4 linked regions of the Alligator mississippiensis genome follow. The protein of the gene in region 2 interacts with the protein of the main gene of each other region in a biochemical or structural test. Links are inferred from orthologs where the notes say so. Each region holds a gene or a part of one and is shown on either strand. Other genes may lie near its edges. The genes, in order: CBX3, TRIM28, CBX1 and PCNA.

Region 1 (7,670 bases), about 81 Mb from region 2:
TGTAAATATGACATACAAGTGCATATAATTTCTTGAGAGAAGTTCTTCTTTGGGCTAAATCTCCCCATCCCACCATTCTCTGAAAATGATTCTTCTTCTTGCTCTTATAATTTAAGAATCAAATCTCCTAGACTTCTAAAACAAAACACTTGAAGCAAGTGCATGAGAAAGGTAAGTATTTGGAAATCTTTATCGGACGTAACAGATTTATGTACGTCTCACAGGTACATCAGCAGATCTTCAAACTTTTCTTCTTGACCTTCTTTAAATTCTGTAATGTGCATTTTATACCATATGGCCCACAGAAAAATTGCTTATTCAGTTCAAATTTCTGCATGTTCTGTGGTTGCATGCTGTAATCCACATCTCAACCTACAAAAACACGCAACATTTGAAATCAACAGGAAGAAATGTCTCTAGAACTATCTGACCTCTTCTTCTAGGTCCCATCATTTTACACCAAAACCTGAGCATATTCAAATAAAGCGAACTTGCACTTTTTCATATTCAAAATTCACAGAAGAGACACGTACCTTCTTCAGTATATAATCACTCACCTTTTCATTTTATAAAAGTGAAAGATTATAACATTGAGGTAATATTGTAATAGGGAGGTTAGCTATATACAAGTGTCAGGAAAAAAGGGTCTCTTTCCCCTCCTATGAGTGTTTAGATCTACCACCACATTATTGAAGTTAGGGACTTGGGGAACTGGTATCTACTTGAAAATGTAGAACTTTAGCTTGATTAAGTATTTGTAAGCATTATTGACTGGAATCTGGTTGCAATACTCCTTAGAGTAAGTAAACCACAGCACTTAAAAGATAATGCAAACATTTAAAAGTTTACCTAAAATATAGTCAACTGCACAGTAACAAGCTTAATGGCATTTTTTTCCCACAACAGACAAAATTGTTCCTTTTCCAAAGCACACAGATTTGTTTGTCCATTTTTTTTCCCTTATTGGGTATATTTAACACTAGGCTTATGCACTTCTGTCCTTTGCAAACATGTCCTGTCATTTGTTGAGTGGACATCAGAACTACTGAGACATCCGCCTGCCCTAAATTCCAAGTTTGTGGTCCATCATTTGACAAACGATTCCACCATGAAAACTGTCCAGGTGAAGTAGACATTTGGTAACCTCTACAGTTATGAAACGCAAATTTGTTGTTCAATTAAACAATTTCAGTGGCAACCCTAGCTATACCCCATCACCTTACCTTTCTGTATTGGTATTTAATTTCAGAAATTGCTTGATTTCAGCAGTTTGTTCTAAACTCCTAGTGAAACATTAAGTGCTATTTTTATGTGCAATGGATGATATGGTGTGATGAAAGGAGGCTAAAAAAATTCAGTGTTTTCTGGTAATGGTTAACTATTATTCTAGTTGACAACTGGACAGCTGAAATGGAGTAGAGCCCTCCTTTAAAAAAAATTGAATGCATCTCATTAGATGGCAGATTTTTAAAGCCAAAGTCAATGTCCTTTCTCATAGCCTTACTTTCTGGATCTGAGATTTTAGTCAGAATAATGCTGGGGAGGGGAGATGTGGATGTATCTTTTACATAGAGATGCCAAGTTATAATTTTGAAAAAAAAATATGTTGGTTAAATCCTTAAATATTTTAGGTGTGCATGAACTTACCAATGTAGTTTTATTGGAGGCCATTTTTATTGCAGACTTGCAGAGCTTTTACTAGAAAAATGCATGACAATTAAAAGGAAGTTTACATTACTCAGAGAAAGGCATCTCAATACAAGCATGGTCCTTTTTCCAACCCCCATGTGTTCACTGTATATGACATTCAAGTGTGGATTCATCCAGAACAAAACTAGGTTGTTACTTTGTCTGGTGTAACCCAAGACCACATGGTGAAACTAGTGACATAAAACCTGCACTTGCACCCGTGGTTAAAAAATGTCCTTTTTACAGGACGTTCTGAGGCACAGGGATGTTTCAGAGGAAGCTGAGGACCACCAGGATGCCTTATATGCTTGAACCCAGAATCATAAGAACTCAGATTGGAGCAGTTAACCAGAAGACATAACTGCAAGCATTTGCAAGTTGCAAAAGAGAGATTTTTTGCTGGCAGCAGTTCTGCAATAGTGAAACAAGTAGCCAGAGTCCCCCGGGATCCTTCTATATAACAGTCAAGACACATCCAACCCCAAGGCTGCCACCTGATCTTGAAGTTTGCAAGCATTAGGACTGGGATGCTGACAGGGCCTATGGAGGAGTGAAATATTTAAGCCTAAAGATAAATGTATTGTTTGACTGCACCCAGGCCATCCCCCACCTCCCCTCCCCCCTCGTCCTCCATGTTGGGCCTCAGCCTGGCCACTTCTTCAGGGACCCCCCCCACCCCGAAATTCTAAAACGGCCCCGATTTCACTGAAAAAGGCGATGGATAAAGCTCCAGAGAAGGCCAGAAAATCCCCTTCGACTCAGCCCCGCCGCCCCGGGAGCCCAGGCAGCGCGAGGATCCCGGGCCCTGGCCCCGCGCGGCACAGCCCGGCCCGGCCCGCCCAAGCAGAGGAGGGGAGGGGGAACAAAGGCCCGTTGCCGAGGCCCGGGAGGGGGGGGGCGGGGCTGCGCCACGGGCCTGCGCTGGGTGGGTCCCGGGCGAGCGGGCGCCCCGGGGCGGCCTCACGCAAGGCCGAAGCTCCCCGGCGGCGGCCTCCTCCGGGCCCGCGGGCATCGCCACGTCCCCCATCCCCTCCCCGGCCGCAGCGCGGGCCCCGGCGCCGGCCAGCGCGCTTTGTCTGCCGCACACGGCCGCCCCGTGCCCTGCGGCTCCCCCGCCGGGGCCCCTCCTCGGCCGCTCCTGCCCGCGCCCCGTGGGGGCTGCAGCGGCGCCGAGAGCGGCGGAGCGGGGGACGAGAACGAGAGGAAGGGAGAAGGATACAGACTTCACGGCGGCTCCGCGGCGTCCCCGTCGCCTCCTCGCTCCCTGCGCGCACTGAGCGCAGCGGCATCCGCGGCAGGAGGGAGGGCGGGAGGGCGAGCAGGCGGGAGGCCGGGCGCGAGCGGGGCGGGGCCACGAGCGGAGCGGGGCGGGGCGCTGCGTGCCTGCGTGAGGGGAGTTGCCACCGCCGCTGCTGCTGCGCCGGCGACGGGGCCACAGCGCAGGATATCGCTGCTGCTGCCGCCGCCGCCGCGCGCGCCGGAGCTGCCGCCTTCCCCTCCCCCCAAGTGCCGCGCGGTCGCCAGCGTAGCAGCGGGCCAAGACGTCTCTCCCACGGGAGCCTAGCGCAGCGCCGGGGACCCAACCTCGCCGCGCGCCCAGGCGGAAGAAGATGCCTCGCGGGGACCGGGAGAGCGACTGGGTGAGTCGCCAGCGGGGACGCAACATGGCGGCGGCGGCTCCCGCAGCCACGGCCGGGAGGGAGCGGGGCTGGGCCGGGCAGCACAGGGCGAAGGAACCGGGCTAGGAGAATGGCGCAGGGCGGGAGCACTGAGGGAAGAAATCCGCTCTTAGTGGTTCGCCCTGAGGCGGGCGGACTGGGAAGGGCCGGGCCCGGGAACCGAGGAGTGGGCCGCGAGGGTTTGTCCCCGAGCGGCTTCGGCCCTTCCCAGAAAGCTGGAAGAGGGAGCAGCCTCCGCCGAGCTGAGCCGAGGCGCTTCGGCTCCGGTCGGCCACGCGGCGCCTCACGATTCCCTTTCCGGAAATGGCCGAAGCGGAGCGTGAGCTTGCCGGGTCCCGGACTCGCTCCTTCCGGAAAGAGCCGAACTTCCTCGGCCCAGCGGCCGCCGCCGTTTCGACTTTTTCCGTCAGGCGCCGAAGCAGAAGAGCTCGACGACGACGGACGCTTCGGCTCATTCCGGAGGCGGCCATTGCTCCCGGAGCCGATGTTTTTTTTTCCTTCCTTTTCTGCGGACAGTAAAACACAAAGGGGAGCTCGGTGCCACGGCCCAGTCTCTTCCCCCCTCTCGGGAGCCGCGCGCTTTGGGCAGGGCAGGGCAGGGCAGGCTGGCGTGAGGTGAAAACAGGTTGACCGCGAACCCGAATTTCAAATTGCGTAACGGCTGAGGCAGCCATTACTGGGCCTGTCGCGTGCGCTCGCACCCGGGGCCGCCCGCACCATGAAGAATATGGTACGTGCCTGGCGGCGCGCGGGGCTCGGCCGGGGGGAAGGGGTCGCGGCACCCCCACATCCCCTCCTTCCCCCCCCCCCCCGTGGGTCGCTAGAGCCGGCCCGGGCCTGAGCGACAGTTAGAGGAGGAAAGTTCTGGAAGCGCCGAAGGCGGTTGGGGCTGGCGCGGGGGGAGGGAGGCGGGGGAGGGGCGGGTCGATTGCCGGGACCGTTGAACCGAACGACAGCGGGGGGAGGGCCCGCGTGCCCCTGGCGACTGCCGGCCGCGGTGCCCCGGCTTTTAATGGCGGTAACGAGGCGGAGGGAGAAAATGGCGGCGCGCAGATAGGCTCGTGTGTGAGGAGGGCTAGCGGCTCCGCGCCAGGATGGGGAGGCGGGCCGTGAGCCAGGGCAGCGCCGCGGCCAAGCTGGTGAGAGGCGGCGTTGGGGGGGAGGGGGGCTGCGGTTTCCTCAGCCGGCTGCGGGTGCAGCCGGGCCCCGGAGGGCGGCGCGCGGCTTCTCGAGGGAGGCTTTTCTCCTGCCGCATCGCTTCCCCGGCAGGCGGCGGCTTGTGGGCGCCATTTTCCTTCTCCGCAGCCGAGCGGCCCCGGCTCCCGGCGCTGCCACATGGCTGCCACCTGGAGCGCGATGTGCTCGGGCCCTGGAGGCAGCGCGCTCCGGCGCAGGGGCAGGAGGCGCCGGCTCTGCCCGCGCAGCCGCGCATTGCTCGGAGCGGCCTCTGCGCCGCAGCTCCCGACCGCGCGCCGTTTTGGCGGGCGTTCAGCGCCGGGATGCGGAATCTTCTCCCCCGCCCCTCAAATTTCTAGCCGCCATTTTTTGGTGGCTTTGCTCTTGCAGCAGTTGAGACGAATTTGTTTTATCTTAGTGTACTAGGGCAGAACAAGGAGGCTCCCAGTAACTTGATAAGCTCTTCCCTTGCACAGGATACAGATGCTCAACCGGCTTTTCTTTTGGCATTTTGAAACAGTTTCCTTCCTCTCCCCCCCCCCCATCCAGATTTCATCAGCAAGCAGGTAAAAGTGAGGTGCAGACATTTTGCTTTGCCAAGTGTAAAACTGCAGTTTTCAGTATAGTGGGTTGGTTTAATTCTGACTTGTAAGCTAACATTCACACTCCCTAAAACTCAGGGGAAATAGTCTTAGTCCTAAGGCTCTGTCTTTGCTAAGGCAAAAACATTGTAATGAATGTGTTAAACATCCCAATGCATGCAACATATTTGGTGGCTGTCCAGTAAAGGTAAATCCTCAGAGGAACAAGAAGTAACACACTTAAGCATAAGGCTGAGTAACAAAGATCATTTGTAGGCTAACTAAATTAGAGATGCACAAACTTCCATGAGCCTGAGCTTACCTCATGAAGTGATGTGAGCATGTGCATTTCTGATTTGGTTAGTCTACCCTGCGTTTCTGCTTGACTTCAGAATGACTTGCCTACCTATCTCCCTCTAATTGTACGTTGTCATCAGAGTTCATATCCTACACGAGGCCGACTGCTTGCCTGAGACTTCACTTAAATGCATGTGTATACGCACGCATGCATGCAATGATATATTAAACAGTAATGTGAACCATCATTTAATATGGAGATTAATTATAGTAGTCTTTTCCCTTGGTAATCCCAATGGCTGCCTGAAAGCTTGTCTTACATTCCCCTTCTCTCTCCTCCCTCCCCCCATTATATAGTTGGTCCAGTAAAAGACATCACCAAAACTCTTGCTCCTCACATTTCTTAGACTAGTGGTTCTCATCCTTTTTAGATTCAAGATACCCCAAGGTAAACCAAAAGCGCTCTTGGACAGACTCATGGAACGCCTCAAAAAATGTCAGCTCTATTTTTAAAAGTAGTAATATTCACTACTTTTTTGGTTACTGAAAAATAGAGCAGTTTTATTTGTTGTAAAGAATTTGGAGACACCACAACTATGGATTTCTATTTGAAATCTCTGGGTGTATCTTGTGACTTATGTTTGGAAACCTAACAGTGCTAACATTGTATAGTACCCTTGAAAGGATGTCAAGGCATGCCACGAGGCCACGTACTGTGGTTGAAAATCACTCCCTTAGATCAGCATTTCCCAACCGTGGCACATGGGTGTGGAGCCACACCCCCTGCCCACTGATGCTGTGGACACGGGGAGCATGGCTCCAGCCCAAAATGCCATCCGGCTGGCTGCACACAGCTTCCCCTGTCCCCATCCAGTGTGCTGTTTGTGCTTTTTTTATTCAGGTAAATGTGCTGTGGGGCAAAAAGGTTGGGGGGCACTGCCTTAGGCCATGTGGGGCTACATGCTCCAACCCTCCTTTCCTAGTTGTATTATTCCCATATGGCAATTGCTTATATTGGAGAAAGTAAATTTATTTGTAGTTGTCTTGTAAGGAAGTTGTAGCCTACAAGCAAACCTTACCAAGTGTCCTGCACCACCAATGATCCACAGGCTTGTTTGAGAACCAGTAGTGTAATTTTATTCATTTCACTTTTTTAAGTGACTTAATGCCTAACTTTTTCTAGTAGGTATTGGTTACAGAGTTGAAATTGCTCTGGTTTTGTTTTTTTGTTTTTTTGTTACAGTAACATAAAATACCTATAGAATTAGTCTGTTGGCATGCCAAATGATAGTGATTTGATCTAAGTTTTATTAGTACTTGCTTTAAATTGTCCTCTTCCTTTCTTCAGTTCCATTTAAAGTTTTGTAATGTGAAAGGGTGGTTGGTGAAAAATTCATTAAAATCTACGTGTTTGCAATTATTTTATGTTGTAATAGTGCAGGTATTCTAGTTGACTGTTAGAATTAGGCCTTTAGGCTTTTTTTTCCCAGTGGTTAATGCACTTGGCTTCTTGGGCTAATTTTCCAACTTTTCAAATGCAGAAAATGATGCTGATGTTCTATTAAACTGTTTGAATCTTGATTAAAAAGCATAGTAGAAGATGTATGTGATGCTGTTATTACACTGTTGGCAGATGCAGTATTCATTTTTTCTAAATAGTTTTCTAGGGGTTTATTGGGGCCCATGTTTGCAATACATGATTCAGTTTTTTCAAAAAGTCTGAGTACTACACAACTCAGGCTCTGCAGACAGTTCTAAAGAAGTACAGGGTAAGGCTGTAACTTAGAAAAATGAACAGTGCAATTTCTGCAATCTGAAATTATAGTCTTGGTTTGAAGTCATTATCAAAAGCTGTTTTGGCATTGCTTTCAGTGGTCCTTCTTCCATGTCTCACACTAGTTGAAATCCTGCCTAGGCAGCATCAAAAAGCTTTTATTAGTCTGAATAGTTTATTGGAAAATAAGTTGAAGTGATAATCATTTTAAAGCAGGTTACAAACACATTTATAGACAAAATTGGCAAGTCTCTCTTTAGACTAGTTCTTTTTTATTTTTTTAATTTTTTTTAGGGTTGGAGAGAATAGGTAGGGGAGAACTTGCACCATTTTATTAGTGCTGGATTAGCCCTTCAGGTACATTCCATAAGTAGGGACTTTCCAAAATGTAGGTGGCAGGACAGGTGATTTCATGGTGCTGACTGCCATTTACATGGTCTCTGCGGAGTGGGCTCCCTGAAGCCCCTGATTGGC
Region 2 (7,094 bases):
AGTGATGCCGATCATGTCTGCCATCACATGTCTAACATCTCTCCCAACAATACAGTTGATCTAATAATAAATATTCTTCCAAAAACTCTTCCTTGTCACACATTTCCTGGACCATCATAGCTACAACACTCCACCCCAACTACTGACATTGAAATAAACATTCACCCACAACTCTACTGTCAAATACACCATCACCTGCTTACAATGCCCCGCTGCTGTCTGCAAAAGCCCATGGCAGAATATTTTAATCTCCCTGCTGACTTCAATCCATCATCCCTGCTGACTTCAGGATTGTTGCTCTCAGACAAAAAACAAACAAACAAACAAAATAAAAACCAGTATGAACTGGAAATTGCAGAACCAGGAAATCATCCACAAACTGTACTGTGTTAAGTATGGTTTAAACTGGGACTATGTTATCTCATTACCTGGATTAGCTTTTGTAACCCTTTTTCTTCTGTAGGTTTACTGCATCTTTGGTTTTCTCTCCTAGCATTGCCATCTTCTCCCTATCTCTCTAGCTTCCTTTGTCTTTTGTACACTAATTTCTCTCTCCTTCCACTCTGCTTTCTGCACATCCTTTCACAGCATCTGATTAAATGAACTTGGGTTCACAAAAGCTTCTGTTTGCTCATGCCTGCATAGATATAGATCTGATTTAGTTAATATAAAGGTTCATATCTACCTTGACTTCTGATTGAAATGCAAACCATTTCACTCCCTTGAGCGTTGGTAATTGGGAGCTCAGGTGGCACAGGTGCTAAGGTACAAAGTTGACAGTCCCGAGGTTGTAAGTGTGAGGCCATAGCAGAAGCACTCAGTGTGTGGCCCTGTCAGATTCTAAGGAATCTGTGAATTTTGGCAAATACCTGGTTGCACAAGGACATAAAAAAGGAAGAAAAGTACTGGTGATTCACTTGGCCTTCCAGGAGATGATGTTGTGAAGCAAGACCATCTCCTCCAGCATTAAGACAATGTTTTCAGTGAATGCTCTTATCTGGCATTCTGGATATGGAGGAGGACCATGTCAATGATAACCTGCAATAATGGGGAGATTGTTGGGACCATCAGGGTTCAGAGTCCAACCACAGCCCTCTCCTTCTGAGAGGCAGGCTCCAAATTACAGAAAGCCAGTGGCAGTTCAAGTGAAGAGCATCTTTGCCAAGTTGAACTTGGAGTCCCTAGTTGCTGAAAACAGCCTGTGTACTTGTGGGTGACAGATGGACATGGCTCTCCATGCAGGAGCCAGCAGCTGGTATGTCTACCATCTTAGAAGCCTGCGGCAAATGCAAAGGTGCTCCCAAGGTGTAATGCAAAAAAACTTTTTGGGAGTTCACAGCTTACCCTCACTTATCCCACAGCTGCTACCACAGGTTCTGGTGTTAAGCCCCAAGGACACAAGATGAGACTGCAGCTTAATGAGTAGCAAGGACGAGACTGCTGCAGCATTGGGCAATGACTGGGAGTAATAGAGTGATGGAGAAAATCTTAAAAGCATGACCCAGGGCACCTTGCAGACTCAGAAGTCAGGATGAATGACTCCTGCCATCCCTGTTTTCCTCTCTTTTAAAAAAAAAAAAGACTTCATAGGATCATGGGAAGGAACCTTACGAAGTCATCTAGTCCAAGTCCCTGCTCAAGGCAGGACAATCCCTGATTAAACCATCCCAACCAAGTGTCTGTCTAGCCTGCTTTTGAAAATTTCCAAGGATGGCAATTCCACAACCTATGTAGCCTGTTCCAGTGTTTGACCGCTCTCATAGTCTGAAAGTTCCTCCTGATCTTCAACTTAAATTTCTCTTGCTGAAGCTTGAGGCTATTGCTCCCAATCCTGTCCCCTGAAGCCACAGAGGAAAGTCCATTTCCATTCTCTCTAGAATCACCCTTCAGGTATTTGAAGAATGTTACCAACTCCCCTCTCAGTCTTCTTTTCTCCAGACTAAATAGTCCTAGTTCTTTTAGCCTTTCCTCATAAGTCTCGTCTCCCAGACCCATCATTTTTGTTGTTTTCTGCTGGATGTTTTCCAAACTCAGGGGCGACATATAGGAGGTGCATGGGGGTGCATGTGCACCCCCTGAGAGCACCGGTGCACCTCCTGTCAAGCCATGCTCCCTGTGTAGCTGGCAGGTAGGGTGGCAGGCAGGAGCACCAATACCCCCCTGTGAGTGCTGGGGGACCCCCCTGAGCCATCAGGATTGGCCACCGGGGGAGTACTCCCCTCCCCAGCCAGTGGGATCAGCCACCAGGGAACCCCCTGGTTGCTGACTGGTGTCAGGGGGGCACGTGCCCTGCCTGACTCAAGAGGCACCAGGCACCCATGTCCAAACTGTACATATCCTTGAAGCATGAGTTCAAAAACTGGACCCAGTACTCCAGGTGAGGCATCCCCAGTGCTGACTAGAGAAGAAGAATCACTTCCCTTGGTTTGCAAGTGATAGTTCTATTAATACAACCCAGTATAATGTTGACTTTTTTTTGCAGCAAGAGCACACTGTTGGCTCAAAATCAGCTTATGGTCTACCATAACTGCCAAGCCCTTCTCTGCAGTATGGCAAATCATTTCCCCATCTGTATTTGTACATGCAGTTATTCTGTCCCAAGTGCAGAACTTTGCACTTGTCCTTGCTGAATCTCACCTCATTGCTTGTGAACCATTTATTTCTCCAGCCTATCCATCCAGATCGTTCTAGATCCTAGGTGGCAATCCCAACCAACTTGGCATCATCCGCCAATTTGCTACATGCACATTGGATCCCATGCTTCAAATCATGAATGAAGATATTAAAGAACCCTGGGACCCAGGACAGCCCTCACTTGATACCTCCTCCCAACTAGACACTGAGCCACTGAGGACTACCCCGACAAGGATTATCCAACTGGTTCTGTATCCACCTTGCAGTACTTCCCTGCGGCCTGTACTTCCTTAGCTTGTTAATGAGAAAGTTGTGACTGTGAAGCCTGACTCATGGCAGGGTTGAGGCTGCCTCATCCTCTTCAAACATCCAAAAAGTAACGTCCAACCAAAGGCCCTCAGTCACTCTGTAGCAGGTACAGCTCAGACACGGCATCCCTGGGGGGGAATGAAACCCTGGGTGCTTTCAGCAAGGTCTCGAGGTTGGGCTGAGAAAGGAGGCGTCTCCCTGGCAGGGACAGCCAGCTTGGCTGGGCATGGGGGGGGGGGGCAGGGGTGAAGCCAGAATGACTGAGGGGAGCAAGGCAGTGTCATGTGCAGGAGCGGCCTACTGCAGCAGCAATTCCCGCAGCGCTCGGCAGGGCCGGCCTGGAAACTGGAGGGCTGCTCTGGGCCTGAGGGGAAGGGGTGGAACAGACCCCGCCTTAGGTGAATCTAGTCCGCCAAAATTCTAAGCGGCTTCAATTTAAGCAGCTTTAATCAAAGTGGCAGAATTTAGTGGGGTCAGACCAGCAGGACAGGACAGGGCAAGCCTGTGGCTAGGCTTCCTGGAGTGACTCCTGATTCCCATCCTAGGTCAGCCACCGAGGCCGCACGTGGGGCGGGGAGGGGGAGCTCAACACTTCCAACGAGGTGGGGCGGGAGCAGAAGGTCCATCAGAAACGATCATTGGCCCTCTGCCCTGTCAGTCACCGCGGCCCTCCCAGGCCGACAGGCACCGCCCCCTGTAAATCCCACAGCTTCGGTGGGTGATTGGGCGCCAGCCCCGCCAGGCCCTTTCCACGCGGCAGCAGCTCACTGAACGCTCGAAAACTCTTCCCGCGGGGTGGGGGGTCCCTCCTAAATCATTCTCAGGCAGGAGGGGAGAAGACGCAGGATTGGTCCAGCAAGTTGTCATTCTTTACAGCCCCGCCCTCGCCCGCTGATGCCGTTCAGTGATTGGCCTGTTCCCATTCAATCACTGCCTACGCTACAGCCCGCCCGCTCAGGTACGTACAGGAGACCAATGGCCGCCTCCCCTCCCCCTTTCCCACTCCCAGCCGGGCCTTGGAGCCCCGCCTCTCCGCCGCCTTTTTGAGAGGTGATTGGGTGGGTTTGCCGCGGCCGCTAGGCGGGCATTGTGACGCGCCGAGAGGGGGCGGGGCTAGGGCCGCGCCGCGCTGGGGGTTGCGCGCGCCGATCCCCTTGTCTGAGGCGTTTTGTTTTGTGTGCGGCGGCGGCCGGAGCCGGAGCAACGGCGCGCGGCCTTGCAGGGGCCGACGGGCGCGCAGCGGCTGCACAGGCCCGGAGCGCGGCGGCGGTGCAACGATGTCGGGCCCAGCGGCCGCGGCCGAGGCGGGTGGCCCCGGCGGGGAGAAGCGTGCGGAGGCGCTAGACCTGGTGGAGCAGTGCGGCGTGTGCCACGAGCGGCTGCGCGGCGAGCGCGAGCCCCGCCTGCTGCCCTGCCTGCACTCCGTGTGCCGCGCCTGTCTGGGCCCCGAGCCCGAGCCGCCCGCCTCCGCCGGCGCCGCCAACAAAGAGGAGCGAGGTGAGCGGCGGGGGGGCCGGGGCGGCCGCGGGGGCGGGCGGCGCGGCGCGGCCCGAGGGGGGAGGGGGCCCGAGGGTGATGGCGCGGGGCCGGGGGGAGGGGCGCCACGCGGTGCGGTGGGGCGGGCCGGAGTGCGCCCCTCCCTGCGCGGTGTAGGGGGAGGGGGCGGGTCTCCCGGGCTACCCCCAACGGCCCCTCGCCTTCCCGAGCCGGGCGCCTTCCCCGCTGCGCCGCGGGCTCTGGGCTGGCGGGGCCGGCGCCTCCTGCGGCCCAGCTCCATTGGCGGCCGGCCGTGGGGGAGGGGGGATCCCTCCCGATCCCCGGCTGTGCGGGGTCAGCCCCGACGCCCAGCTCCGCCTCCGCTGCCTCCATCCTTCTTCCTGCGGGCCGGGAGTGCAGGGGCAGGGCTGGCAGCTTCAGCGCCTGCTGGGGAGCAGCCCCACAGGCTTGTGGGCCGGAGCCAAGGGGTGGGGCCTGGCCTGGCCTGCTGCAGGCAGCCAGCCAAAGGCCTCCGGGCCGTGGGCCTTCTGTCTGCTGGAAAGGGGACGCTGCTCAGCAGGAGTGCTAGAGACTTCCTGCCTCCCCCTAGAGATACTGGCTGGAGAGTGTTGTCCACTTGCACCCTTCTAGACACCAGCTGGTAATGGTCCAAGTAACCTTCACTTGTGACAAGGCTTCAGCTGCAGTACCAGCATACACGTTTCCTCAGTTGCTTATTTTTTTTAAAAAAGAAGAAAGCCTCCTTGTTGCTGCTTTTATTCCAGCTAAAGTTTCTAGTGTGGGACTCTGATTTTGCAACTAAACTGTGCAAGGCATTCTTGAAGGATGCTGATTTACCTAGAGGTGAGCTAGGGGTGTTCAGGGCACCTGTACTAAAGAAACCAAGTCCTCCAAAGGAGCGTGTGAGGCAGCTTTGTTGAAGACTGTAAAAACATGGAGCAGTGCAATATAAATAATGTGTAACAGGAACATGTGCGGTAAAATTACTTGTGAACTTCATAGAAAGAGAGGATTCGTGCTGCAGTCTGAACAGTCTGTAACAGGTGGCTCAAGCCTGTTAGAGATGATCTTAACCAAGGTTGAGTGACTTGGTTCTGAGGATGTGAGGGTCTCTGTTACACTCACTGATAGGAACCTCGGTATGAACAGTTGTCCAGTGCTGGAGGTATCCCATCTTTGGACACATGGCATTTTATTACCTCATTTTATTAACTCATCTGTAGTATAAAACAGTATTAAAAATGCAGCAAACTAAAATACCTAGTTTAGTCTCCTTGTTGGCTACCTAGCTGACTAGCACCTTCTGGTTAAGAGCTGAAAAATCCCCTCTTCCTAGCATTCTTTTACCTACAACAATTTCCTTTGGTTTTGGGTTGTTTTTTTTTTATTGCCTTTAAGTTATGCCAACTTATTCTGTTAAAATATGTTGCAGCTTCCAGGGATGCTTTTCCTAGTCTTGCTGCTGCAGGCTTGTTACAGATTGAAAACCAGTAGTCTTCATTCATGTCATTTGGCTGGTCAACCCAAATGATAAATACCCAGGTTCAGAAATCCAAAGTTCTCCTGAAAACATGCAGTTCTATACATTATTTTCTAAACCATTCAGTTGCATATTAACACAGTGTATACACAGCTAGATATTCTTTTTTCACTTTATATCATGTGTTATCATTTCAGTTAATTTTCCCCACTCCTTAGGCATTTTTATCAAATTCCAAGTTTCTCAGGAAGTTGCACCATAATTGAGGAGACACTGAAAGGGTATTTAGGATTCATTCTTAATCACTTAAGACTTTTGACCCCTCCCAGGATGTGTTCACTGCCTTATTGTTACATTCTGGTCTGACCATTAAGTGTCCCTGAGGGGCTTTACTCCCATCCAGAGAGAACCAACAAAGTATCCTATGGCCTAGAAAATGGTCTACAAGGAGAAGCCTTCTTAGAGTCAGTGTTTCATTTAAGTGGGTGTGAAGCCTATACTTTATAGCTGTTCCTTAAGGAAATGTGCCTTGGGCCTGGCTTTTGTATAGGCTTTGTACTGAGTGTTTTGGTTAGGGGGTGTGATTCTTAACCTATTACCAAAAACACGGTACCATTTGGTTTTTCCAGAGACAAGACTACATACCTGTAGCCTGTAATAATAATGACCTCTTTGCAAGCTTAGAGGCAGAACTAAGGGACAGTTATAATTGCTTTAATGTTTTTTATTTATTTTTATTTTTTTTACACCAAATCAAGATACACTTGCATTTCCCAACGATTCTCCACTTCCTCTTAACAGGTAAGGTATCAGCTTTAAGGTGGATAAAGAGGTAAACCAGGTCTATAGAAGCCAACCTTTTATTGATTACAGCCCAAGCACAGGAGTAAGCATTTGTCTGCCTAGCTATCTGCAACAGCATAATACAGATTCTTGCCTGTACAGCTGGTATAGGAGGGAGGAAGAAGGTAGCATACAGACTGGCTACCAGGTTGTTTTGAATTTGCTTCGGTTTTCCCAAAATCTTTTGTTTACTGCACCTAATATTTGTACATGGTTTATTTTAATAAATGTTCTTTGATTGGTGGTGTGTCAATTTCTTTGTTTTACCAAGATTTGGCAACTGGACTGAGCCAGTTGTTATCTTTATGGACTTGGAAGATGCCAATTAGTT
Region 3 (6,913 bases), on a different chromosome or scaffold from region 2:
TTCTGACCCTACCTACTATGAAACTATGTGGGGAGCGATGTGCTATGGGGCAAGATGGGGCTGGCCCTACATGTTGCAGCAGCACATATGGGGATGGGTGGGGCTGAGCCCACTTGCTGCTACCATGTACAGCTGGGGACCGTGGTGGGAGCGCAGGAGCTGTACGTTATGGGGCTAGGCTGGCCCTGCATGCTGCCACCATGTGTGGCCAGGGACTTGCACAGGAGCATTATTGGGCTGGGTGGGGCTGGCTCCGCACACTGCCGACATGTGCAGCCAGCGACTTGGGTGGGAGTTGCGTGTTATGGGGCCAGGCAGGTGGCTTGCCACCACCTGCAGCTTAAGGGACTCTCACACTCCAAGGATGCTCCCCCACACCTCCTTCCCCCAACATGCCCCCACACCCTCCGCCACCACATACCCTGCACCCACACCTACCCACTATATCTACACCTCCCACACCCAATATACAAGAGTAAGGCTGTATTTTGAACTATTATGGAATCACCTTGACCCAAGGGGACAATAAGAACCCCCAGGCGTGGGTCGTGGTGGAGACAACCCACTGCAACAATGGGAAAAAAAGGCCTGAGAAAAGGGCAAACTTGCCTCCCTCAGGCACAGCTGTACTGGATGAGCCACAGAGGGGTGCTTTTCTCTGCAGCTGAGGCCGGTGCGGCCCAATGATGTCATCCAGGAACACTGCCCGGCAGGGATACAAGTCGGCGGTGGGGATGCAGGAGGGAGGTAGTTGTGGGACTGCCCCCGCCCCCGCCCCCCCGCCACTGGAATGGAGGTCCTGGATGCACACAAGGAGGGGCCAGAGAGGGACCCAGCAAGAGGGTCCAAGGCCTGATTTAAAGGGCCACATCATCCTGGACAGCGAGGGAGTTGGCCCAGAGGAGGACACTGAGAAATGGCGATGCCGGCAAACATAGGACGCGTGAGCGGGGTGTGGCCAGAGACCCTTCCCTGGAATTGTGGTTCTTTAGTTACATTTCAGTTACCTTGAAGCCCTGGGGCCAGAGACAAGGCCAAAGGGCAGACACTGAGGGTTGAGCGGGCCAGGGCCATTTAGAAGATCTGAACGTGGATAGACTAGACCCATCATCGAGGCCATCACACTGCCCCAGGCAAACCTGTGTGGTGGGAAGAAAGACTGTTGCAAACACTGGGGACTGGAGAGGCAGAGAGGGAGTGGGATACCACATCAATTTGAAGCCAAATTGCCCATCATTCAGCAGTTCTGATGAGCTGGTGCATGGCTGGGGTGTAGGGGAGGTGGAGCCCCAGGAACGCCTGCTAGTGATGACGCCCAGTGCGTTCCCCATGACAGAAGGGAACCCTACTACTGAACATTAGGGTTGTGCAAAGCAGGCCCTACTAGATTCAGGTTCATCCCAAATGGGGGACCGTGATTTGATTCGTTGATTCAGATCACTGTCCCCGATTCGATTTGGCTGAATCCGAATCTGAAGATTTGATGCTGATTTGGAGAATCAGCGATTCGGCCACAGACACAGCTTTAAAGGTTTTTTCTACATACCTCGAGGTACCAGGTACAGCTTGTGAATGCTGTGATGCTGGGGTGGATGGAGCATCCCACAGGAGCATGGAGGGGCCCTTGTATTCAATCAACCGCAGGTGGACCCTGGATGCCCCCCCAGAACCAGGAGGCACTAGTTGCCGAGCTGCGGGGCGGGGGCGGACACCCAGTGTGCTTCCCAGTGGACCTGGAAGTGGACTGGATGTGCTTCTGGTCCACTTCCAGGTCTGCTGCCAAGCGCGCTGGGGAGTGCCCCGTGCTCCTTTGGAATACTCTATGCGCCCCAGCTTCTCAGCGTTTATGAGCCACCTGGTACCTTGAAGTATGTAGAAAAAACATTTAAAGCTGTGTACGTCCAAATTGCTGAATCTTTCCAAATCTCTCTGATTCGATTTGGAGGGTTCCAATTTGATTCAGAGAGATTAAAGTGTCTTCTGATTCAGCCCAATTTGGTGGCCGAATCTGAATGGAATCTCCGCCAAATCGAATCAGCAACTGAAGCTTCGCACAGCCTTACTGAACAAAACACCCAAAATGTGGCAGGAAAGTACTGGGGTGTCCCCTGAGAAGAACATGACCCCATGTCATGACAGCAGGAGCCGTTTGCGTGGCAGGCCCCTAGTGCGTGCTCCAGAGCCGCATCGGAGAGGCTCCACGAAGTCAGGTGGGCGCACACCTCTAGATACACTATGCAAACACACAAATCGGGACAAAATATTTTTTAATGAAAATTAAAATGTTATAACAGATGTTTGGGGGGGGGTTTTGGGTTGTTTTTTTTTAAGTATATGATTTTTTTTCCCCTCAGTTTCACAATAGCAACTCCCCTTCCCTCCCAAAAGGAGTACTTCTGGGGCAATGGGAGGGACTTCAGGTGGCAAAGGTCAGGGGTTAGGGGTGGGACTTCTGGTCCCAAGATGGCGATCAGGGGGTGGGGCATCTGTCAAGGGGCAGGGCTACATCTTGCCCATTAAGATGCTTTCCAGCTGAAATAATTGCCCACCCCTGTGATTATAGCATGTTGGTCTATGTCTATGGTATCATGGAACAATACAACCTAAAGGTATGGAGCTTTAAGGTGGAGTAGGAGCACGTTATCCTATGTAGCATCACCTGTGTGTCATTGCATGGTTCATCAGCCCCAACCATTTTAAAATTGAGTTAGGCTCCTAGGAGGTGTAAGATTTCAAGAAAATATAAGAACCACAGCAGTCTTTTTGCAGACCTTTTTCATAGGGTTCTCAAGCATAAGGCCGACCAACAACTTCTGTTCCCCTGTCTCATAACACGTTGAATGACGAGGTAGAAAATTCAAAGCAAGCGGCCAGGAAATGCTTTTCATGCTATGTGTTAGATGGCTGAACAAGTCACCTCAAGAAGGCTTGGGGTCACAAATATGCCCTGTGACATAAATAGCAACAGAGAAAATGAGAAGAGGGCATTACACCATATGTTTGAGGGCTTGTGTCAGTCTCTAAGCTCTAGCAAGGCACCTTTGAGACAATGGGGTGGGGTGAAACCCCCTCTCTTCTGCCATCCCTGCCTTCTTGCCCTACTGCCTACAGCTCCTTCTGAAGCAGCGTTTCTCAACCCGTGGGTTGCAGCCCAAAAGTGGGTTGCAAGAATACATGAAAGGGTCAGGCATGAACTTTAAAAATGGGTTCTCCTTTAAAGGTGAAAAACGGGAATCCCTGGCAGGCTGGCAAAGGTCCAGCCTGCAAGGGGCTGCTTATGCCCCCCTGCCCCACACACTGAGGGTCTGGGGGTGGGGGGCAGAGAGTCGGCGGTGAGGGGCACTGGGTCAGGACTGGCCATCGATGTTTACAAATGGGTCCTGGTACAAAAAAGGTTGAGAACCACTCTTGAGGACAGTGGCAGAGGCAGGACATGGGGCTGCACGGAGCTGGGGGCTTCTTCTCCAGTCTGTGGGGCTGTGTTCCCGCGCTTTGCTCTAACATTATAGTGACAAGCATCATCATTGCTTTGTTATTCTTACTGTCGTTATTTTCATTGATGCTGTTCTGCATTTCCAAAGCTCCCTAGGATACAACTACGCCCTCCTACTCCGCGCTGGCTCATTGAGAACTCCCCACCCCGCCTCAACCTGACTTCACTAAAGGCGGGACGCAAACAGCAACGCGGAGCCCGCCACGCATGAGCACCGCTACCGCAAAGCTCAGCAACTCCCCCCCACCCCGCGTCCACTTCGGCGCGCGCAGGCATGTCAGCCCCGCCCCTGCCTACAACTCCCAGCAGGCCGCTAGGTAGAAAGCGCGCGGGAGGCGGTGGGACTCGGCCTCCCAGCATGCCGCGTGAGCCAGGAGCGGAGATTGAGGGAAGGGGGGTTGGCGCGCATGCGCGGTGCGCTCGGCGGGCACTCGGGCTGGCGGGGCTCTTTTGTTTGGCGGAGGCGGATTGCTAGCGGCCGGGCCTGCGGTGCCGCGCGCACCGGAGCGTTACCCGCCCTGCCCAGCCCGGTCCGACCCTGTCCCGCCCCGCCGCGCCCTGCCCGCGCGCTGAGCCGTTTCCCCTCGGGTGCTGTTGGCGGGGCTGTGAAAGGTGAGCGCCGCGGGGGGGGGAGAGCACCGGAGGGGCGGGGCGCGGCCCCCGCGGGGGAAGGGGCGGGGCTGCACGCGGGGGCGTTGGCGATGCTGTAGGATGGGGGGGCAAGTACGAAGCGGTGCCTCCGGGGGGGTAGAGCTGCAGTGGGGGGGCTGCGTGCAATGGGGGCATGTGGGGAGCAGCCCCCCCGCCCTTGGGGAGCTGGGGCTTTCCCGGGGGAGGGGCGGGCTGGAGCTGCGCCGGGATAGGGGGGAGGGGGCAGCTGCCTGAGGGCAGGGCGGGCTGCGCGCCTGGGTGAGGTGGTGCTTGGGGGGGCGGGGCTGGAGGCTGGTGCTGCAGCAAAACCAACCTGGGGGGAGAGGGTAAGGGATGGCAGAGATGGGAGCTACTCCTGAGGGGGTGATGCTATCTGGGGGTCTTGCAGGTGGCAGAACTGTGCTGGAGGTGCCAAGCCGGCGTGTAGCCACCACTGTGGGATCCAGGGAGTCAGGATTCAGGTCGAGGGGCTGTTCTGCTCTTCCAGCTCCCAAGGAGGAAAAAACCCCACAAAAGCAGGGCTTATTCTTTTTGGACCAAAAGAGGAGGAAAAACAAAACAAAAAAAAAAGGGGAGGGGTGGGGAGTGCTTCTAAGCCTGAGCATCACCGTAGAACCATCTCTGGGACTGTTTGTGTTGCTGCCTTTCTGTGCAGCATGTTTCTGATGGGGTTGAACAGCCGCTGCTAGGTCTCCTACCCAAATCCAGCCTCCTGTTTGTGTTGGAGATGCAGGTAGTGAAACTGATGAGAAACGGAACTAGGCTGGTTTAATCTCGCTGTCTACTCAAGTGAAATGTAGGCATGGCAAGTGAAGGCAGCTTGGATGTGCTGGTAATACAGGGAAAAGAGCATTGGAGTGTAGTGGGGAGGAGAGGGGGCTGAAAAATAAACTGCTATTCAGACCTGCCCCGCTGAATACTAAAAACGACAGCGTTGAATGAAGAAAGTACCATTAAAACAGGGGGAATAAGAATATTTATGGGTGCGGAGATGTCTTCCACTCATGGAGGTGCTGGGTACTTGGGAAATACATACCACTTTAATCGCTGTTTCCCCTGTAGCGTCTCCAGATCCAAATTTATTTTAATTTAAAAAAGTAAAACACAAGTCTGTGCTTGGGCTCTGCCAGCATTTCCCTGATTAGCTGGAAGTATAGGAGTACCTCTGTGTGTGCCTGCTGCTCTTTCATGTAGAACCTAGAAAGCGTAACTTAAAGAGAACTCCTGTCTTTGAATTCCTTCTTGCTTTTCTCTGCAAAGAAGCAGTATTTCTACCTTTTTATGCACACTTTCCCAAGCTTCAGAGATTTGTTTCTCTCTCAAGTTGTGAGTGCAGTTGAAGATGATGAGGGGATGCATACTCAAATTCCCTTTGAAGCCAAGGTCGTCTTTCTTTCTACAGTTTCAGCTCAAAGGCTAGCAATTCTGGAAAGTTTGAGTAAAAGCCTTTCTGCAGTTTTTCAGGTTTTGGAGCCTGGAAATGTTAATACACTTCTTCCCAGTTCAAAAGAAACATGCCTGCTGCTTTTTCCTGGCAAGTGGTACATACATATGCCATGTTTTTAAAGTCCTGAAAGAGGAGTAGGACTTTAGCCAACATTAGGAAGGGCGGTAGGAAGTATTTCAAGTTAAAAGCATGAAAGTAGCACTTAAGTCGCAAACCTGTAAAATGTAGTGACTGCACTTGGACTGAATGTATTCATATTAAATAGGTCAGATAATCTTTTTGGGTCATCATATATTTCCTGCTTATGCTGACCTAATCTTCTCTCTTTAAACTGTTTACATTTAAACCAGTTTAAACTATGAAAGCTTCTACAAACAAGCCTTCCCCCTCTATTATTGCACTTTCTAAAAGGATTCTTGGGAGCATATCCCTCTTGCTAACAGCACTGCCATTTCCATCTGAAATGGTTGCTGATGGTCTTGTTTGCTTTACAACTCTCACAGTACCTGGGCACAGCCTTCAGAACATCTCACCCAACACTAAACACCTTTGAAAGGCAAGGAACAAAAATGTATGAGTCAATTGGACACTAAGTACCAGGCACTTGACAGACAGTGATTTCATGGTCCATTATGATGTACTCGATTCTCTGCACATTACAAATGATAATGACCCTTCTGAACAACCTTGTTCTTCTGTTACCAGGCTTTTACTGTATCTCTCTTGCCTGTTGGTTACCTGATCGTTTCTCTTATACCCTGGTTTTATTTACATAAGGTGTTTTGCACAAGCTTTTTTTCCATCTACTATGTAGCTTTGCTGTGTTCCCACAGTCCTGAAGAAGGATACTATCATATCTATAAGCTTGCCTCTCCCAACCATGCAGTTGGTCCACAAAAAGATACCATCCACAAGAATTTTCGCCTCTTGCCCAACACCCAGATTCTTTGTCTCTGAGTTACTGCAATAATGCATGTTCTGCAGTGTCGTTGATTCTGGCTTTTGCTCCTGCATCTGCTATTCTTGTCCCACGAAAGCAAGTTTTGTATACGTTTTTGTGCTGGGCCTCTTTCTTTGTGGCCTTTTATTGGGGTTTAAATTCTTTTCAAGCAGTTGAGGCATGTGTATTTTTGGTTTAATTGCTGACATGAAGGCCCTTCTCCCTCCAGTGTTTTATTTATCCTTTATAAAGAATTCCAACCTCACCCCAACTTTAAGGTCTTAAGGTGATGTCAGGTGAGAGTGGGAAATATCAGTAGAAATCTATTTTGATCTTTGTCAGAAAATTATTTTCAGTGCACTGAGCTCTTTTCCAGGCACAA
Region 4 (7,922 bases), on a different chromosome or scaffold from region 2:
ACCAAAGAAACCAGCTTTTTGCAGTTACCCAAAGGGTGTGATTGCTCTGTGAGCCCTACCAGATGCCAGATTTCACTAGTGATAAAAACCACTTGAGCATCAGTACAGATAAGTAGGCAGGGGGATTGAGTGGCAGTGGATCAGCATGTCAGACCAGCAGCAAGAGTGGCTACCACTGGAATATCCAATTTCCAAAAATCCATAAATCATCAGATACCCCCAGCATTCTCACCTTCATGGCTCAGAACTAGAATAAACATCATTTCTGTGGTATACTTATGTTGAATCATCAGAGCCTCTTGAGACAACCACAGCCATCATCTAGAGACTTAAGCCTGTTGTGATTGAGGCAGACAGGGTGCTTTGGGTAAATGTGATATCTTTTATCAGACCAACTAAATAGTTGGAAAAATTGTTCTTTGCAAGCTTTTGGGCACAAACACTCTTCTTCAGGCACAGGGAGAGGACACTCTATGAGGCTTCCGAGTTACCCAAACATTTAAGACGACCTTGTTGGTCAGTTTTTTTCCTTCCTTAACCACACAGCAAGTCTCAGCTCCTCCGCTCTCCTTCTCTGTACAGCTGGAGAATGGGTGCAAGTCAGACATGGAGGGAGCTCTGGGTTCTGCTATACATAACAAAATAAATCACATCTCTTGGCTTTTACACTATAGTACCAGACTTGATATAACTTGAAGCTCTCAAAGCCCTTTGTGTGCAGTAGATAAACACCACAAAATCTCTAAAGTAGGTGAGTGTCATAGCCTATATCCAGATAGAAACCAGGCACAAGGAACTTAAGTTTGGCAATCAGACTTGCTCTGTGGCCTTTTGTCTAACTATATCTACAGCACAGCTGGAACTAGAATGCAAGCATCCTTACCACTAAGTCCATTCATAACACGCTAGAAGCCGTGCCCATTCTTAATTTAACAAGAAAACCCCTGGGATCCTGACTCCCAGGTCTCTCTATCCTTTGTTTTATATTTAAGCTTATTCCTTTTAGCAATCAGGGTCAGTAAGTTAGTGGCTGGTAAGTAAAAGGGCTGCACATCTCAGTGGAAAGCTCTATCTGCATAACTGGTATACCCAACTTCCATGCAGCACACATGCTAAATATCCCGTTTTCATTTGCTTCAGCAGTTCCCCTCATGATTAGGTGGGTCACTTTCCACCAAAAGTGTAGAATATTTGTGACAAGCTGCAAGTTGATGATGCAACACTGAGACACAAAGCCCAGAAGATTCTGCCTCTTGATGCCACGGATCCCTCTTTCCCCCCTTCCTACGGCTACTAGCCGAGTGAACTACCGGCCCTTGAAAAAACTCCGGGCCCCATGCCCAACAAAGAGCTGGTAGCAGTGGAGGATCCAAAACTAAACCAAACCCTTCCTGTGCCAAAGCTGAGCTCAGTGTAAACAGTACAATTTCAGTTTTAGAAACAACACTGTTTGAAACCCCACAGTAAGTGCATCCTTAATAGTCTCTCTTTATGCCCTTATTCGTTTTCAAAACTGGAGGTGAAAACACGATGTTTGCAACTCAGGAGCATGACTTCAATTTTATTTTTTTTTTTAAGGTTTCTCAAATAGAGAAGACATTGAATTTTACAGAGTAAAACAATAACTCTATAAAATAGGAAATGAGAATCTTGAACTATTCTATAACAGCAGGAAACTAAATACCTGGTTGCTCATGTAATGCTATCTATTTAGCTAATTTCAAGTGAATTATTTGCTAGAAAAAGACAGCTAGGATCACTCAAATCCTATTTATTCCAAGGGTAGCAGTCACAATTCAAGCTTCCCTAATCAAATGTTAAATTGTGATCTGAAGGGAAGAGTAAAATAATGCTGACCTTTTACAGTCAGAACTTCTTTTGCAAGCTACCTTAAGGGGAGGTTTTCATTTCAGTAACATTCATGTGGTTTCGCATTTACACAATCCCATGAGCACTGTAAAGGGCAACAGCACAGCTAGTGCACTACCTTAGCAAAAGAAGCACCACAAAATGAAACACACCTTCCTGTTTCCATTGTCAAAGATGAGCTAAATGAAAACTAAGGCAGAAAAGCCAGATTAAGAATTTTCCAGTTTTAGTTTTAAAACTAACAGAACAATTTATTTTAAAAAAATGAAACCAAGTGCATTCTTTTTGGTTTCTCTTTACAAATTCAGTGTCCTTTTGAAAGCAGCCTCCCCTGCTGTGAAATATAACAGGCATACTGTACTAGAATTAATATTATTGGCTATGCTATGGCTGGGAGACAAAGTAAGTAAAGGAAGACTCACAAGGATGTCTGAACAGGGGACATCCCTGATAAAATTCAAGAAGACCTCCTGCTAGTGGCTTAAGGTATCAGCACAGGTTTCACTGAATTGCTGTCTTGTATATTGATGGTATGCCCACAGTATGCTACAGACACTTTGCAGACACCAGAAGACAACACAATGCTAGCCTCCAAGAGTTCCTAATCCTAGACCCCGACCCTGTGCGGTTTTAAGGAATACATTATTATTAGGAGAGATACTGGCCAACTCAGCAGTTCAGACAGTTACATTCCACTCCAACTTCAGCCTTCAGGATGTTCTTTGCTGCCTATTCTATACCATGTTCTGTTGAATACAAAATTCAGTCAGTGGCAGCAGGTCAGCGATGGAATATGAAGGAGAGGGGTTTGCTTCAACATTTTGTTTGAGGGCAGTGGGGCTGATGTAATTCTTGGCCCTGTGCATTGTGTTTGTTCAAATTATTTTAGGATATTCAGTTAACCCCAACTTGTATGGAGAGCATTTTGGATGCATTACTTAAATGCTAACTAAAGGAATCCTGTTGTATGTAAAAATGCATCGGATGAGATCAGGGGTTTGGGTCTGATGAGATCAGACTTTAAGAAACAGCCCTTTGGCCTTCTGTGTCCCACATAGCTAAGACAACTCTGCTTGCTGAGAGTATGCATACCAGTTGAGCAATACCAATGCTCCCAAGGAAGCATTCCAACTCCCACAAAAGTACCAGGATACAACAGGGCTATTGGTTGTAGCTGTACTGGTCTAAGGACATAGGCAGACAAGGTTCTTTAGGTAAATGCAATATCTTTTATTAGACTATAGTTGGAAAAATTGTTCTTTGCAAGCTTTCAGGTACAAACATCCTTCTTCAGGCACAGGAAGAGTTAAGTCACCTTGCTACAGTGCAAAAATGCAGTGCAAACAGTCAATTATCAAGAGGGTGATAGTTTCCATCCACTCTTGTTTAATATAGAAAAGCAAAGCTAAACCAAGTCGGTAAATTTAAACACCGTAAAGCTTTACAAGTTACCAGGCAGTCAGGCATTTTACATCTTCATCAAAAGTTAAGCTTCCAGCAATCCCATTTTCTAGAGTCATTTCTTCCAGCTCTATAATTGTATAGCAACCAAGAAAGTAATTAGACCCAAGGATGATGCTTTATTTTACAGTTTGCGCTAGCTGCTAAAAAAGGATGTCTTAAGTAATTTTAAATGCAAAGATTTCGGCTGAGAAAAAAAACAAAAGAATTTCAAGTGATCACTTGATGTTTACTTGACACAGAAAGCTTTTCACCTTTTCAAGGTTACGTGGTTGAAGCACTCCACTGCTGTCTTGGAATTAGAACCAGAACTTTGTTCTAACATAAATGCAAGCCAAATGGTAGCTGACAAGGCCAAGGTAAGAGCATGAAACAGCCAAGAGTAATTACAATTTCCCCCTCAGCTTGATTCCTGAGGCCCATAGGGTTGTGAATGGCAAAGAACCCCAAAGACTTTTTCAAAATAGGACTTTTACCTTGAAAGTCCATGCTTTTAGTTGCTCACATCTTCCAAGGGGCACCCTTTAAGAGGGTGAGAGTGCAAATGACTTAGTGAAGGACAGCCAACCTTTTAGCTCTATTTCTCCAAGCATCTGGATTGGGCTTTGGCAGAAGCACGTACAGTAATAGCGTACAGTGAAAGAACAGCTCTCTCACCCCATCTTAACAATGGTTTAGGCCTCAAGTCCCATGAGACTCCAGAAGCACCAGGCTGGGCCAATCCCATGGCAACTCAGTACCCGCTCTTAGACGTGGCGTCTTGCAGCCAAAGAGAGTGGAAATGCCTTGCTAAACAGTTAGTGTTTTACTTCACAGGAATTAATGAGTTGAGGAGAGATGAATTTGGCTACAGCCTGGTTCCCTAAAACATCTTCATCTTGGTCTTGGAAATTAAGGGTGTGATGCTACCAGCATTTATGCATACAGAAGTCAACATGCAAGCTCTCCCTAGCCAGCTGGCCCCTAGGGTGCAGCTGACAACCCATTTGGCACATTACTAGTGGTGCCCTGGCAGTGGATCCCTCTGGGCTCTGGGAGCTACGCCCGGGGAGCAAACGCTTACATGGCCCAGCTCAGGCAGGGATGCACTGAGGCTGTGCCTCCCACGCCCCAGCCACCCGAGCTGTACCGACATACAAACCCAGATGAACTGCACTGCACTGCACTGCACTGCACTGCACTGCACTGCACTGCACCGCTGCCCCGCCCCGCTGCAACCCCCGCGCTCCGCAAGGTCGGGCCGAGCAGCCCTCACTACACCTGCGGGCAGGCGGGAGGCGCCAGGCCCCGCCCCGGTACCTTGTCGTCGGGCTCCCGGCCCAGGCGCTGCCGCAGCTCGCTCATGCTGAGCCCCGCTGCGAACCTCAGCAGCAGCGCGTGCGCCCAGGCCCCAGCGTTCCATCCGCCTGGCGCCGCCGCAGCCAATGGGAGCAGCGCGAGCCGGGAAGGAGGCGAGGCCACTCGCCTCGCCCCGCCCTGCCCCTCCTGACCCGGATGTAGGAACTCTTCTCTTCCTCCTCCTCCTCCCCGGCCTGTGGTGGCTGCCATGATAGGCGTACGCCGATGGCGGTTGTACATGAGCCATCCCCCAGACGCCGTGAAGCTCCCTGTAGCAGCCCCTGGGCACGGCACTCTTGCTTTGGGAGCATCCCAGAGGCAGGGCCGAGCAGCCGACCCTCGCAGCCTTGTGAAACAACGCGGGTTGTAAGGCCGGCCTCGATTGGTGGGAGGAAACGCGCTGCTTGTTACCTGCGTGGGGATTGGCGGTTGCAGAGCACGTGGGCGGGATTCTGTCCAGAATCCCAAGTAGGCGGAACTACCGGTGACTCCCAGGCTCTGATTGGCCGGAAGGAGGAGCTTTCATTTTTCGCGCACGATCCCGCTGGTGGGCACGGATCGGTAGATTGGCGGCAAGGAGGCGGGGCTTCAGGTTGCTGCGATTGGTGGAGAAGCCGGGGAGGCGGGACCCGGACGTGAGGTCAGAGGCGCTATAAAGAGAGCCGTTGGCGCGCCCCGAGAAGCAGCAGTCTAGTAGCTTTTTCTCGTCACCATGTTCGAGGCGCGGCTGGTGCAGGGTTCGGTGTTGAAGCGCGTGCTAGAGGCGCTTAAAGACCTCATCACTGAGGCCTGCTGGGACCTGGGCTCGGGCGGCATCAGCTTGCAGAGCATGGACTCCTCGCACGTCTCACTGGTGCAGCTCACGCTGCGCTCCGAGGGCTTCGACACCTACCGCTGCGACCGTAACATCGCTATGGGCGTCAACCTGACCAGGTGCCACGGGGGCGGTTGTGGGGGCTTGGAGCGCAACGCTTGTCCCGTTTGTGCCGCGCGCGTGCGCGGTGACGTCACGCCGGCGCCCCGCGCTCAGGGTTTTCCCGCGCGCAGTGGCGGGAAAGAACCCCTGCGGGGGGAGGAGTTTCGGCAGCTCTGCCTGGTGGGAAGGGGAAGGGTGGATGTGGCCCCTGCAGTGCATTGCTCCTCTGGCCTGGAAACGGCTTGCAGGGCTTGGGGGGAGGAAGAGTGGATGTGGTGGGTCAGGATGCCTTGCCTGGGCTGGTCTAACTAGTCTAGCCCTTGCTGCAGCATGTCCAAAATTCTGAAGTGTGCTGGCAACGAAGACATCATCACGCTGCGAGCAGAAGACAATGCAGACACCCTGGCCCTGGTGTTCGAGGCCCCAAGTAAGTACCTGTACTTCACAGAAGTTTAGGACTGGAAGAGACCTCATGAGATCATTGGGTCCAGCCCCTGGACAAGAAACACTACTGGGTTCAAACAACCCCTGCAGGGTGTGCATCTAGTCTCCTTTACCCCTGTGTTCTCACAAGGTCCCTTCCAGCCCTAAACTTTTGTGAAGATCTCTAGGTTGTGTCTGCACCACCTCCGCTGGGAATCAGTTCCAGAGTCTGGTCACATGAGCAGCAAAGAAGTCAGATGAGTCCTCACAGGTATGGTGCCTCAAGCCATGTTGGAGCTGCAGGGGTCTGAGAATGAGGTGATAGGCAGGGATTTTGTAAGGTCATCTCTTGGGCCAACTGTACAGCTGGGATGCAGGAGGCCTGATAAATGTCTTGCTTCCAAAAGTTTGTCTAGCTCTTATCCTGTGCTGTTTATCTAATCAAAGAGATCACCCTATGAAATCCTTGCCTCAGCAAAGGTAGGAAACACTTAAAAGCTCACATGCGCATAAAAATAAACACCCCCTCAAAAAAAAAAAAAGTGTCAGTTTTTGAACTTGCAGCACTACTTGAAGACTAAAATGAGTGCCTCTTATTAAGTTAATAGGCAGATGAGGCTGGAAGTGAACACTTGAATCATTGAGTCACAACCAGGGTCCCGCAGTGTGTTGAAGTGCTGCCAGATATTTTGGAGGTATGCAGATATAATTAGATAATTGGAGGCTCAGGCTTGTCTCTGTCTGGCTGGTTCCTCTCCATCTTCACTGATTGGTTCTCCTGAAAGCAGCTGAGCACTGTAGTATACAGATGAGCCTTTGAAATTGTACAAAATAAAGTGGCATCCAAAGTCAAGGCCCTTCGCCATGATGGGGTGGTGTGAGAACCACTCATCTGGTTTATGCTAGTACCTAGTTCAAAAGCTTTGTGTGATGTGTATACTTTTTTTATTTATTTATTTATTTATTTATTTATTTATTTATTTATTTTTTTTAGCTGAGTACAGTAGATGACGATCATCTAAATGACCAGAAGCTTTTATGGATACTTGTGTAGTTGCACCAAGAAATGTCTTGTGTCCTGTGACTTGGGGTGGGGTGGCATGCTCATAGCTGTTTGATAGGGCACCCAAGGGGAAAACTAGGAGTCATGGGCACAAACTCCTGGAAGATTGATTCAGGCTCAACATTAGGAAAAACTTCAGTTGAGGTGTCCAGCCTGGAATAAGCTCCTTCCAGAGATGGTGCAATTGCCTACCCTGGAAATCTCCAAGAGGAGACTAGACAGTCACCTTGCTGGGGTCACCTGACCCTCGGTTATCTTTCCTGCTTGGTGCATGGGGCTGGACCTGATGATCTTCCAAGGTCCCTTCCAGCCTTACAATCTATGAATATCACTTTTTTTCTTTTCTGTGTAAAAGTTTAAGAGGATCTAACTGCAAAACACAGGTTTAACTTTGCTTCACCAAACACACAGATGTATTTTGATGTTTTTCTCCTAGATCAAGAAAAGGTCTCCGATTATGAGATGAAACTAATGGATTTGGATGTGGAACAGCTTGGCATCCCAGTAAGCCATTTTGTTTTGTCTGAGCTAAATTTAATTGCTAATACTCATAAGTGAGAGTAAAATGTTAATGTTGAAGGCTTCTAAAATTTTCTGTGTTCCCAGTTCCTCACCTCAGTGGGATAGTTTTAAGATGGCCCATGGGAAGCATTAGGAATAGCCTAGAGTTTTTGAAGTGGTGATCACTGTGGATAGTGGTTGACTTGGCTCTTCAGTTCTCAAATGCATGATCAGGAGGACAGTGCGTTTTGTAACCTACCTTTTTAAGCACTTCCTTTTACAAAGAGAGGTGCACTAATTGACCCCTGTTGGCTATGCCCACTGAAGGTAAAGCTCACAAGTGATTATTCA

What was found.
Region 1: the proteins of TRIM28 (region 2) and CBX3 form a complex in vitro, tested with the Homo sapiens proteins (2 studies listed by BioGRID). The link is inferred for Alligator mississippiensis from reciprocal best matches to the Homo sapiens genes TRIM28 and CBX3.
Region 3: the proteins of TRIM28 (region 2) and CBX1 form a complex in vitro, tested with the Homo sapiens proteins (3 studies listed by BioGRID). The link is inferred for Alligator mississippiensis from reciprocal best matches to the Homo sapiens genes TRIM28 and CBX1.
Region 4: the proteins of TRIM28 (region 2) and PCNA form a complex in vitro, tested with the Homo sapiens proteins (2 studies listed by BioGRID, with this or other methods). The link is inferred for Alligator mississippiensis from reciprocal best matches to the Homo sapiens genes TRIM28 and PCNA.

What each region holds. Positions count from the first base shown.
Region 1 is NC_081828.1:156,758,044-156,765,713, forward strand, and holds the start of CBX3 (chromobox protein homolog 3), read right to left. Parts: upstream 3,009-7,670; 5' UTR 2,979-3,008; coding exon 2,913-2,978; intron 1,699-2,912; exon of another isoform or gene 1,672-1,698; coding exon of another isoform or gene 1,648-1,671; intron 1-1,647. Other genes in the region: HNRNPA2B1 (heterogeneous nuclear ribonucleoproteins A2/B1), read left to right, coding at 4,463-4,507.
Region 2 is NC_081828.1:75,675,040-75,682,133, reverse strand, and holds the start of TRIM28 (transcription intermediary factor 1-beta), read left to right. Parts: upstream 1-4,079; 5' UTR 4,080-4,220; coding exon 4,221-4,440; intron 4,441-7,094. UniProt on the Homo sapiens protein: Nuclear corepressor for KRAB domain-containing zinc finger proteins (KRAB-ZFPs).
Region 3 is NC_081827.1:167,748,321-167,755,233, reverse strand, and holds the start of CBX1 (chromobox protein homolog 1), read left to right. Parts: upstream 1-3,907; 5' UTR 3,908-4,105; intron 4,106-6,913. UniProt on the Homo sapiens protein: Component of heterochromatin. Recognizes and binds histone H3 tails methylated at 'Lys-9', leading to epigenetic repression. Interaction with lamin B receptor (LBR) can contribute to the association of the heterochromatin with the inner nuclear membrane.
Region 4 is NC_081830.1:25,946,598-25,954,519, reverse strand, and holds the start of PCNA (proliferating cell nuclear antigen), read left to right. Parts: upstream 1-4,904; 5' UTR 4,905-5,380; coding exon 5,381-5,601; intron 5,602-5,913; coding exon 5,914-6,011; intron 6,012-7,506; coding exon 7,507-7,574; intron 7,575-7,922. Other genes in the region: CDS2 (phosphatidate cytidylyltransferase 2), read right to left, coding at 4,591-4,674. UniProt on the Homo sapiens protein: Auxiliary protein of DNA polymerase delta and epsilon, is involved in the control of eukaryotic DNA replication by increasing the polymerase's processibility during elongation of the leading strand.